Linked DNA regions of Mus musculus. The protein of the gene in region 3 interacts with the protein of the main gene of each other region in a pairwise test. Links are inferred from orthologs where the notes say so. Each region holds a gene or a part of one and is shown on either strand. Other genes may lie near its edges.

Region 1 (3,517 bases), on a different chromosome or scaffold from region 3:
AAGTGTTGGCATACTCATTCACTGCAGCTTAATCCTTAAGTATCCCCTAGCATTTTTGCTTTACCGTTTAGTTACAGCCATCGCCAAGTCCTTGATTCCAACTCCTTGCTCAAAATGTTCCTCTCCCTCTGGTTTTACAGTGCAAAGGCAGCACAGATGTGTTCTTGATAGGTACATGATCTAAGGTTTAAACTTGATAAACTGCTTTTCTTGCCCCAAATCATCAAACGTGCTGAAGAATATTCACTCCACAGACCTACTGTCTTCCTACATGCGTACACTGGTTCCTGTGCCAGGAAATGTGAGTCAGTATGTCAGCTGACTGTGGTTTAAGCCTGGTTTGGCTTCAGTTAGCTTCCCAAAATCAAGCTGAGTGAAGTCCATAATGTATTTCATATAGATGTTGCTCCATCTGCATCCAAGCCTCTTACTGCTGCTTCCAAGGAACTTGGAATAACTCTTGGGTTAGTTTCACCTTACTAAATGGAAAAGCAATTTCTTTTAACATCTTATACACATCTACCTCTTCATGGATATAATCCACCTTTTAGTGATTGTGGTATTTTTCGCCTGCTTCTCTGGAGGTCCTGCTCCAGTCATCTTGGTTCCAGATAACAGTGGTTCAACCTGCTACTCACATCTAGTCTACTTGAGTACCACCTCCAAAACAGTGTTAGCAGCACCTTGACGTGGACCCTTAACTCATGGAAGTTATAGAAGGAAAATCAGCCCTTAGTGTAGTAGTGTCTCTGGAGGCACAAATCATGTTTGGAGATAGGCATTGTTGTCCTTTTAAGAACAAGCCTACAAAATGTAGCTCCTATAATCATCAGGAGTGCCCTCCTTTAGTTGGCCATGGGGCAGAAGTAACTGTAGGAAGCAGTGAGCTCTCGGCAGTCCCATTTGGAACTTTCTGGACTTTTAGGGGTGCTCCCTGCTTGTTGGTCTTAGGGGTGTGGAGTCCAGGTGCACATCCCATGTGTTGGTCATGAGATCACTATGATGACCATGCTCTTGTCTTTCAGGCTCAGCTTCGGGCATTTATCCCAGAGATGCTCAAGTATTCCACAGGTCGGGGGAAACCAGGCTGGGGGAAAGAAAGCTGCAAGCCTATCTGGTGGCCAGAAGATATCCCATGGGCCAATGTCCGCAGTGATGTCCGCACAGAAGAGCAAAAACAAAGGGTACATTCCTCAGTCCTCATTAGTTTGCCATGCTGGGTCACCCGCCTCAGTTTCTGTTGGTACAAGTTTCATACCATTTCATAACAGTCAGGCCTCTTCCTCCAAAAAAGTCGGTTGTTCTCTGATATACAGTCCTTCTTGTTTATTACTGTACACAGAAAGATTTGGAAAGGCTGTGGATTTATACTTTGTTTCTTCATAGATGTCTTTTGTAAAAGCTTTAAACCAGAGAAACTTGGAAGTAAGAATCATTTGAAAGCTTAGAAATAGCCTTGCTTCTGATTAGCAAGAACTACTGTTGAGCGGTTTGGTGGCACATTCTGTAATGCTAGCACTCAGCAGGCCAGCGCATGGAATCTCTAGTTTGAGGCCAGCCTGGACAACATAATGAGTTCTAGACCAAACCTACCTGAAAACAAAAAACAGACAAACAAAACAAATCACTAGAGAGTTAGTTGAGTGGTTAAGACAGCTTGCTGTTTTTGCAGAAGACCTGAGTTCAATTCCCAGCACTCATGTCGGGTGACTTACAACCACACGTAACTCTAGTTACAGGGATCCAACTCTCTTCTGGCTGCCATGGGCACCGTCACACATGTAGGATACACTCACACAGACACACCCAGATAATATACATACATACAAAGAGACATAATACATACTTCTTGATCAGAGTGTTACCTCTTATGAGAAATTGGAGAGTTTGGCCTCAGTTTGGAATAGGACACAAAAGCAAAATCCGAACTTGGTTAGGAAGGAAGGACAGAAAACCATCAGTTGCTTTGCTCCAGAATAATTCTGTGGGAAGTCCTAAAAAACTAACTCTATACGAGGTTTGATAAATACATGCCTGATTCTCCTGTGGTGGCATAAATCCCCAATTTCTTTGTGGCTTATTATGCTTTCCTGTTGTTTTGATGACAGGTTTCATGGACCCAGGCATTACGGACCATAGTTAAAAATTGCTATAAGCAACATGGGCGGGAGGATCTTTTATATGCTTTTGAAGATCAGCAAACACAAACTCAGGCCACCACCACACACAGTATAGCTCATCTCGTACCATCACAGACCGTAGTACAGACCTTCAGCAACCCTGATGGCACCGTGTCGCTCATCCAGGTATGTAAGCCTGATGTCTCAGGGGAGGTGGCTCGGTGCTATCTCACCTCTAATGGAGAAGTTTCCTGTGTTCATGCTCTCTTCTCTGCACATCCTAACAGCTGCTCTCGCTCTCGCTCTTCCTGCCTAGCAGTCGCTTCCAAACAGTTTCATTTATTTTTTATTTCATTTTCTTGTGCTGCTTGGAATGGGAAAGTCCTCACCCACATGGCCACATCTTATCTCCAGCCTTTGAACCATATTTTACATTGCATGTGCTTTATTTAATTCAGAGCTATAAGTAGCTTCTGGAACATTTCCAAACAAAGCACCTGAAAATTGTTTCTTGGGTTAGGGTCCAATTAAATAGTAGAATGCTCGCCTATCATGTAGAAGACCATCACCTTCAATCCCCATCATCTGGAGAGAGAAACAGAGAGGAGGATTTTGGAGGAAGGAGGAAGGGAGAAAGACAGATAGGTGTGTACCTGCCAGAGAAATACCTTTTCTAAGGTGGAACACTGTTTATTGACAGATGAGGAATCTCTAAAGTTCAGGTTGGGGTTAGAGTGTAGAGTGTTGGTTGACTGGCACCAAACTCCAGAGTGGAATGCAGTTATTCTTCTAATATTGGTTCACGCTAGTCTCTGAGAGCTGATTTAGTCATTCTCTTCCTGTCAGGAGGCATATTATGCAGAATTTGGGGCTCAGCGAGTCTTAGCTTATGTGTGAGGGCTAGGTAGAAGGTCTGTCTACTGGCATTTAACTTCCTGTGTTTCCTAGGTTGGTACAGGGGCAACAGTAGCCACATTGGCTGATGCTTCAGAACTGCCAACCACAGTCACTGTTGCCCAAGTGAATTACTCTGCTGTGGCTGATGGAGAGGTAAGAAAAGGGTTTCTGTATTTCCCTACTGGAGTAGTGCATGAATGAGTAGGAAGAAGTCAGGCCCAGAAGACGAAGGAGCAGCCTTGCAATATGTGAAACTTTTAGTATTTATCCAACCATGACAATTTGGAGAAGTATCTAATATTGTGTTAATTGTAATAATTAAAATTCATGGATCACTACTGCCCAAACCAACCTGTTAGAAACTTAGAATTTCACATTTGTAATATAGTATTTAATATAAAACATAATAAAGGGATTTTCTCTTTCATATTTTTACAAGAAAGGCCATTTGAGGGCTCCAATGCTTAGTATAGGCAATCTCCATAGTTGCAAAAAGGTTA
Region 2 (3,517 bases), on a different chromosome or scaffold from region 3:
TAAACTGAGCCTTGGAAACAATTAAGTTGCATGATTTCAGGTTAAAGTCCTGGAAATTTCCTTTAGTAAGCTAGCCTTTACTGGTTTTTCAGGTCTTTTATTCTTATATGTAACCATGTTCCTGATTTAAGGCACTGTTATAGTTCTCATCAATACTGGTAGTTTGAAACCACACTGAATGAAAGCACTGCTCGAATGGACACTGTTAGGTCAAAGTGCACAGCCCTGTTGCACCACTGAGGAGCTTTAGAGAGACGCTTACCCTGCTGGCCCTGGGGGGTCTGTGAGATGATAAACTGTGCTGGTTGCAGGTTGGTGGTTGGGTGCACCAACACAAACTGTTGCAAGTTGAGATTTTGCTGCTGAAGCTGTTGCAATTGTTGAAGATCCTAAAGGCTCAGAAGCAAAACACAGATTAGAGAGAGATCCTGAAATGAAAGCTGGATTAGTCGTAAGGTTCCTAGGCAAAGACTTGTGTCACATCAAATAACAATGAGACAATACTCAGCTTTTTTTCATGTCCCAACAGTGTGGCTTCCAACAGTGTCAGTGTGTGAGAAATGCTCAGGCCTCAGGCCAGAGAAGGCTCAGTAGGTAGGAGTGCTCGCTGTGCAAGACTGAAGACCTAAGTGTGATCTTCAGACCCACGGTGGAAGGAGAGAACTGACTCCTGAGAATTGTTTTGATTTACACACACAAACAGCAATTATCAAAAACAAAACTGAAAAAACTTAGGGCCTCTGCAAGAAGTTATTTTTGAGGTTATGATGTATATTATATAGAATCATGATTGTGTTAAGCCCAATTTTCAATGGTTACCTAAAATACTTTCAGAATAAATGAATAGAGAATAAATGTTCTGGGGGAGGCAGTTTTCAATTTTAGTTTTATTGTTATTAGTGTGTGATGAGGTTTGTGTAAGCCACACATGCATGTGGAGATCAGAAGACAAGTCTGGAGTTAACTCTCTACTTCCACCTGCCACCACTGAGATAGGTAACCTTGGATGGCAACCTGCCCGCCTCTGGCATCAACTAAAATGCGAGCATCTGTGCATGCCTCTGAGAGCTCTTCTTGATCGGCTCATCTGAGCTGGGAAGACCCATGCTCAATCTGGCCTGTGCCTTCTGCTGATAGCCCACATAAAGGAACAGGGAAGAAGGACCCTTTTGCTTCCTGTCTCTGTGCTCTTTCCCTCTGGTTATATTCATCTATCCTGTTGCTGAGGAATTCCTCTGCTGGTAATAGAAGAGTTCAAGACGGAATAAAGACTAGCTAAGACATCCAGCTGCATGAACTGAAAGACCACCATCATTGGACTAGCCAGACCATAGCCTGTAAACTACTCTAATAAATGCTAATAAATTAATATGCATTCATTCTATAAGTTCTGTTCATTTAGCTCTGATCTAAACAAAGACTAAATGTTCCTGAAAAATTAAGTGAGGAAAAAGGGATTTGAATATTTGACCCATTTTTTTTTATTTTGTTTTTTATTTTGTTTTTGTTTATTTTTTCAAGACAGGGTTTCTCTGTGTAGCCCTGGCTGCCCTGGAACTCACTCTGTAGACCAGGCTGGCCTCAAACTCAGAAATCCGCCTGTCTCTGCCTCCCAAGTGCTGGGATTAAAGGCGTGTGCCACCTGGCTTCCATTTTTTTTTCTAAAGTAAAAATTGAGTGATATAACAAAATTTCCATCAATAAAATAAAAGATTTGATTCCTGAAATTTGACACCAGCTTATCCAATTCAATTTAGGAATTGATGTTAAGTTATTTTAAAAATTCACATAAAAGTCAGATATAACAAAACAATACAGCTTTATATTGGCTCTAGTATCTTACATTTTTCAATGCCTTCATATAAATCATTCTATTTATATTAATTTCAGGTAAAGTCTCAAAGTTTAGGCACTAACATAATTTATTTGATGAAGAAAATGGCCCAAATCAAAACACTATCTTGATACAGATGTCCACACAGTAATAATAAAAATCAGTCTGAGTCTATTTCAAGTATCTCGTCAAACTGTGTCACACCTTCAGCACCCCCTCCCTGGGGACAGAAGGAGGAGTTACTCTGCTTAGACTGTTACCCTGCTTCTGCTACATCAACTTCTCAGGCTCCCTGTCCCTCCCTTGAGAGAAACAAGGTCACATATTTTCTCTTTTGTTATAATTCTTTATGACTCTAAGTAATTTTTAAACTACCTTTGGATATTTTATTTGAAAACGTAAAAACTGAAACCCTGTAACATTTTAATGCAGTTCTCCATGGTCCTAGTCACTCCACAGCAGAAAGATGACTTGCTGTCTTTTTTTACAAGGTGGCAACACTTACTATAGAGCACATGGAAGAATTTTTGCCTGCTATGATTGGCTAATAAGATGAATTAAGATGAATACTGAAACCCCTTGCCTCAGAAATATGCCAGCTACTTACTCAAGAATTTCATTTAACATAAACATTCACTTATTCAAATAACCAGCTAGATGTTTATAATATCAACTCAAATAAGCAAAAGGGAAGAAGCGATAATGCCACCTTGAACCAGAGTTCCTTGGGTGTTTAAAGACCCACAGCAGCAACCAGAAGGCTAACAATATGGAAGAGAATTTCCCATTTTATTGGCTGTTTGCTGTCCCAGTAACCTTGCTCTTCCCTTCCTCACCTGTGCAATCTGTATGGGCTGAGACAGGGGGATCTGCGTCATGGGTGTGGCGGCGGAGGCTGAGATGGTGGCCCCAGCAGCACTGTGCTGTTGGCTGGCGGAGTGTTGCTGCACTGCAGCGGCCAGGAGCTGGGCCTGGGCCTGCGCCTGCTGTAGCAGTAACTGTTGCTGGGCTGGGGTCAACGTGAGCTAGAGTAAGAACAATGAAGGGAAAGATTGAGTGCCTTTAAATAGGTAACTCAAGTGGGATTAGGTTCTCACTACTGGTCAATGTACAGCTAACCTGTCCACCAATGAACAAACTACCTGTTCTACCACAGCATTTAACTTAAAGTAGTCTGCACTTCAGACTTGAACAATCATTTAGACAAGGAATGAAAACAAAGGACTGATGCTGACAGGATGCAAAGACATTTATATCCAACAGCAGGTGATGAATGAGGGACAAAAGGATGCTGGCAGGTGCAGGAAGAGAACTGGTAAGGCCCAGCTGCTTGAATCCCCATCGTATTTCACTACTTCCATCACATCTTCACATGTGACTAAAAATCAGGAGCCACACTTGTTTCCTTTAAAAATCCTCCTCCAGGACCCTCCCTTACCCAATCTCCTGCCCTTGAAAAGCATTGGTTTGCAAGTTTACATTTTTTTCCAACTTATTATCTCTAGGAAACAGGTGGTAAGAGCCACCCTCTTAAACACAAATGAATCTAAACACCCAGAATTAATAGTCTTCAAGGTACATGAACCTGGAATTCCAAGTGCCCATCTATCTATCTATCCTAGACACTAATCACCAAAACCCAAACCCTAACAATAAAGCAAGAAATGTATTTAGAACAAACAT
Region 3 (4,238 bases):
GCAACACTAGTGATTGTTACTGGAACTCCCTGAACTTGAACACCCGCAGCACCCAGGTTGGCAACGCTCACTGTCTGAAGGTTAGGCACTGATGCAAGCTGGGCAGTATTCAAAGTTATTGGGGCACCAGCAACAGCCACAGGAGCAATCTGAGCAAGAGTTGTGCCACCACTTGAAGACACTGGGGTGATGGTTAACTGCTGGGATAACCCAGCATTCTGAACTTGCAAATTTGAAAGACTTTGAATATTCTGGACCTGGACAGTTTGCCAGCTGATTTGCCCTGAAGGTGTTAAAGTTGGAGCCCTGATAAGTACCTGAGTCGGGTTTACTGCTTGAAGTTGAACATTCTGCAAAGGCTGCTGCTGGATGGTCTGAATTGTCTGCCCTGACTGGAGCTGAAATGACTGTGGTGGGATAGCTTGAATAATCTGCTGCTGAGGCTGCTGGATCTGGATTTGCTGCAGGATAGGCTGGCCTACAATCTGTACTTGTTGAAGGGAATTTGACTGGTCTTGTGCATTCTGAATTCCGTTGGACTGAAGCTGGCTGGAGCTCTGGGCTTCAGACTCAGTAGCAGCAGGTGTCTGTGGTTCTTCAATGGTGCGTTCAGAACTACTGGCTGATGTGCTTGCATACTGGCCTGTATCTGCTGAGCTCACTAATGTGTCACTGCTCGTCAGAGTTGTTGATGCGGTGGTTGTGCAGGTAGTAGAGGAGGAGGGCGATTCAGGCATAGTACTGGCGGGAGCAGTGCTGGTGGTGGGCGTAGAAACTAACTGATTCCCATTGGAAGTCCCACTGTCAGTAGTAGTAGTAGGCTGGCCGACTTGTCCAGTCCCTCCTCCAGCAGTCACGTTATTTATTACTGGCAAAGCTAAAGTCACTCCTCCAATGTTAATTGGTAGGGTTGTTACAACTTGAGCCTGAGTACCAGGAAGGGTCTGCAATTGCAATGGTATTGAAACGCCAGGTCTAATTTGTACTGGAACTGTCTGATTTGCCAGGTTTTGAGCAAGGATATTCCCAGAAGCTGTCCTGTTAGCAGCCGTGAGGATAGCTTGATTATTACCTGCAGAAATGAGCTGAATTTGACCCTGCAAATCCTGTAGAGATGAACTACTAGTTGGGTTGATTTGAATTTGCTGGCCTTCCACCGTCTGAAGTTGGGGGATCACTTGGTACTGTACACTACCGCTTGGGTTTTGTACTTGTATGACTTGAAATTGATTAGGGGTGGAAGGATTACCTGATTTAGTTTTTGTAGGAGAGGAACTCCCGTTATTACTGCTGGAAGAACTAGATGAACTAGAAGCTGGCTGAGAAACGTTATTTTCTTTTGAAGCAGGAGGAGTGGAGGCAACAAGTTGCCAAGCGTTTCCAGCAAGCTGCGTCGTCACCAGTTCTAGCTGCTGTGGCTGATTCTGAAGTTGCACCAATCCTTGGCTTGGATCTATAATAATCTGCTGTTGTCCAGTTGCTTGATTTTCACCAGGAGTCCCTATTTTGCTGCAAGTAGCTGCCAGTAAAGCCAGAGGAGAGGGCTGAGAGTCCTACCCAAAATGGGAGGGGAAAGGAGAGGGAGGGGAAAAAAGTGGGCGGATTTAGTGGAAGACAGCAGTCGGGAGGGGGTTATTTATTTTGAGAGCTCTAAGTATCAGAACACACTCAATAGGCAGCAGAATTAAAAAGGAAATATGAACAAAAGCAGGTGATAGAAGCTATATGAATAAAAAGGCAAGTCCTATTACATAAAGTTTAAATAAAAAGGAATTTTCTGGTAAACTTTCTTAAAGTGTTATTCTTCTAAACTCAAAATGCCCTTGGGAAAATAGACACCTTCTTCTAACAGTCTGAATTCCTGGTGTAATATAAACATCGTTATAGCCTCAACGATGGGAAATCTTCAAGAATTTACGATTTAAGTTCCTCACTCAGAAAGATGCTTTGAATGGATAAACATTTTTATTCTGTTCTTTACTTCTGGGTACTTAAAGAGCATAACTCCCTCTCTTCCCTAAAGCTTTGTGTTGAATTTTCTTTTAACGTTTGCTTTTACCTGGGAGCCTGAGGTTTTGGGTTTTTTATTGTTATTCTCTGGCTCAGAGGTTTTCCCTCCTTCTGTAGCCATCGCCGCTGCCGCCTCCTCCTCCTCCTCCTTCTTCTGATCTGCAACAACCCCCCACCACCACCAACACACACGACAACAGGTTATTAGGATTATTATTATTCGTTCTCCTCCCTTCTTCCCCCTCCCTCCTCTTGAACATTAATCTCCGTAAACCCGCGATCCGTGCACACCGGCAGGGGGTGGGGGAGAAGGAGGGTAGGGAGGAGGGGGCTCTCACGAAACGTGGTTTGAAACCCGACCCATAGGCTCCAGAGCAACACCCAGAAGGAGGTTGTTCTAGCTCAGACATTAAGACAAAACACAGCCCTCCTTCCCTCCCCCTGGTTCCCTCCCGCCCTCTCCTCCTCCCCTTCCAGCATCTCGGCGGCCCCGGGGGAGGGGGAAGCGAGCAGGGTCTGGGGAGGGAGGGACGAAGGGAGGCGGTGAAGGAGACCGAGGGGGGTGGAGAATACGTACCGCTCATCCCGCATTAACAGGACAAACCCTCTCAGAGACACTGGGATAGAGGTGGGTGGGGGTGGGGGCGAGGCGGGAGGAGAGGCCGGTCCCGCCCGCCCGCGGTGGCTCGGAGGAGGCTGTAGCTGGCACAGGCTCTGCCTCTTTTTCCGCGAATGGCCGCCGCTGGGCTGTGGCGTAGCAGCTCCTCTCTCCGCCCGAGCCCGGCTGACTCGCCCTTGATTGACAGCGGCGGCGCGCGGCGAGGGCGGCGGCGCGGGCCGGGGGGCGGAGCCAGGGCGGCGCGAGCGCGGCGACTCCCCACCCCCCTCGGCCTGCCTCCGCCGGCGCCGCCGACTCTCCACCCCTTCCCCCAGCGGATTGGCCGCCGACCTGCCGGGGCCGGGGCGCTGGGGCCGCCCTTTCTCCTCCCCTTTGCCCGGCTGGTGCTCGCTGCTGTTCGGCTTCTGCCTTCCCGGCCCGCGGAGCGTGCCCTCTCGGTGAGCTAGCTGCGGTTTGCTGCCGGCAGGCCCTCCATACAGCCAAACTTGTTGTCTCAGGATATCCCGCCCCCTACTCAGTTCCCGGCGCCCTCCACTCAAAAGCGCGCCGCAGCATCCTGCGAGGGGCCGCGGAAGGAAGACATGGAGCTAGGCTTAAGGGAGAGGAGCGGGGCGAGCGCGGGGAAGCGTGAGCTCCCTGCGATCCCGTGGTCTGAGTGGACTGCCAGCTGCCCCCTCGGCGTGAGCATGGCTTTTCCTAAGGCGCATCCGGACCCGGGCGCCCTTTTTCCCTGGCTCGGCTCTCATTGGATGAGGCCGCTGACGCACAGTGAGTCGTGGGAGGAGGCGGGCGGGCCTCTCCCGCAAAGGCTTTCGGGCCTCGTAGTTTTTGACGGCTATTCCGATTGAGGCACCGCCTTCCTCCCGCCCCCGAACGCGGCCTGGCTGCGGAGCCTAGAGCTGCCCGAGGGGGCGGTGGCAGCAGGGCGTGGCCGGGGCCGAGTGGGAGTTGAACCCCGCGCGGGGGGGAGGGAGAAATGGGTGTTGTTTGCCTGGGCCTATCGGCCGAGTGGGGCTGCCCGAACCGCCTCTGCCACCGCCCCCTCAGCTGAAAGCCGCTCCCCGCGGGGCGAGCTCACACCCGGAGCGCGCGGCGATTGAGCGGACCGAGGTGTTGGGAGGCGGGGTCTGGTGTCCTCGGGGTTTGAATGAAGCTGACTTGGGGTACATCCCCTTCGCCCTGCTTTCTTTGCTCACCTAGCTTGCCGGGGCCTCCGGTCTCAGCGCGAGGCCTGTGTTCCCACCGAGCAGGAGCTTCCATTTTATTTGTCGTATCTCTGGCTGGCTGCTGGTGCAGATTAGTGACTTGTCTTCTAGGGTGGCCACGAGTGCGCCTTAGAGTCTGCGTTCTTGGCGCGCTTCTCGCTCCTAGAGGTCTCACAAGGTTGTCCGGGCAAAGGAAAGCCTGGCTGCATGTGGGTCAGCTCTGGTCATGGTTTTAGCGTAAGCTTCTAGGCAAGTGGAATTCACAGCTAGCTGCGCAAAGCACTTTGTCAAATGCTCCTGAACCGGCCCCTAGCTTCTCTCCAAAGACATGAAATCAAGATACCAGGGACCGACCATATGAGCGACTGATGAAGTGTACCAAAGCTGGAAATAAGTCCCTAAAA

Evidence for each region. The genes of interacting proteins can lie anywhere in the genome.
Region 1: the proteins of Sp4 (region 3) and Nrf1 interact in binary tests that used the Homo sapiens proteins (3 or more experiments, as listed by UniProt). The two-hybrid records come from large-scale screens. The link is inferred for Mus musculus from reciprocal best matches to the Homo sapiens genes SP4 and NRF1.
Region 2: the proteins of Sp4 (region 3) and Pou2f1 interact in binary tests that used the Homo sapiens proteins (3 or more experiments, as listed by UniProt). The two-hybrid records come from large-scale screens. The link is inferred for Mus musculus from reciprocal best matches to the Homo sapiens genes SP4 and POU2F1.

What each region holds. Positions count from the first base shown.
Region 1 is NC_000072.6:30,113,988-30,117,504, forward strand, and holds part of Nrf1 (nuclear respiratory factor 1), read left to right. Parts: intron 1-1,025; coding exon 1,026-1,184; intron 1,185-2,108; coding exon 2,109-2,306; intron 2,307-3,068; coding exon 3,069-3,170; intron 3,171-3,517. UniProt on the Homo sapiens protein: Transcription factor that activates the expression of the EIF2S1 (EIF2-alpha) gene. Links the transcriptional modulation of key metabolic genes to cellular growth and development.
Region 2 is NC_000067.6:165,908,618-165,912,134, forward strand, and holds part of Pou2f1 (POU domain, class 2, transcription factor 1), read right to left. Parts: intron 2,860-3,517; coding exon 2,671-2,859; intron 390-2,670; coding exon 263-389; intron 1-262. UniProt on the Homo sapiens protein: Transcription factor that binds to the octamer motif (5'-ATTTGCAT-3') and activates the promoters of the genes for some small nuclear RNAs (snRNA) and of genes such as those for histone H2B and immunoglobulins.
Region 3 is NC_000078.6:118,298,640-118,302,877, forward strand, and holds the start of Sp4 (transcription factor Sp4), read right to left. Parts: upstream 2,802-4,238; 5' UTR 2,595-2,801; coding exon 2,588-2,594; intron 2,170-2,587; coding exon 2,060-2,169; intron 1,554-2,059; coding exon 1-1,553. UniProt on the Homo sapiens protein: Binds to GT and GC boxes promoters elements. Probable transcriptional activator.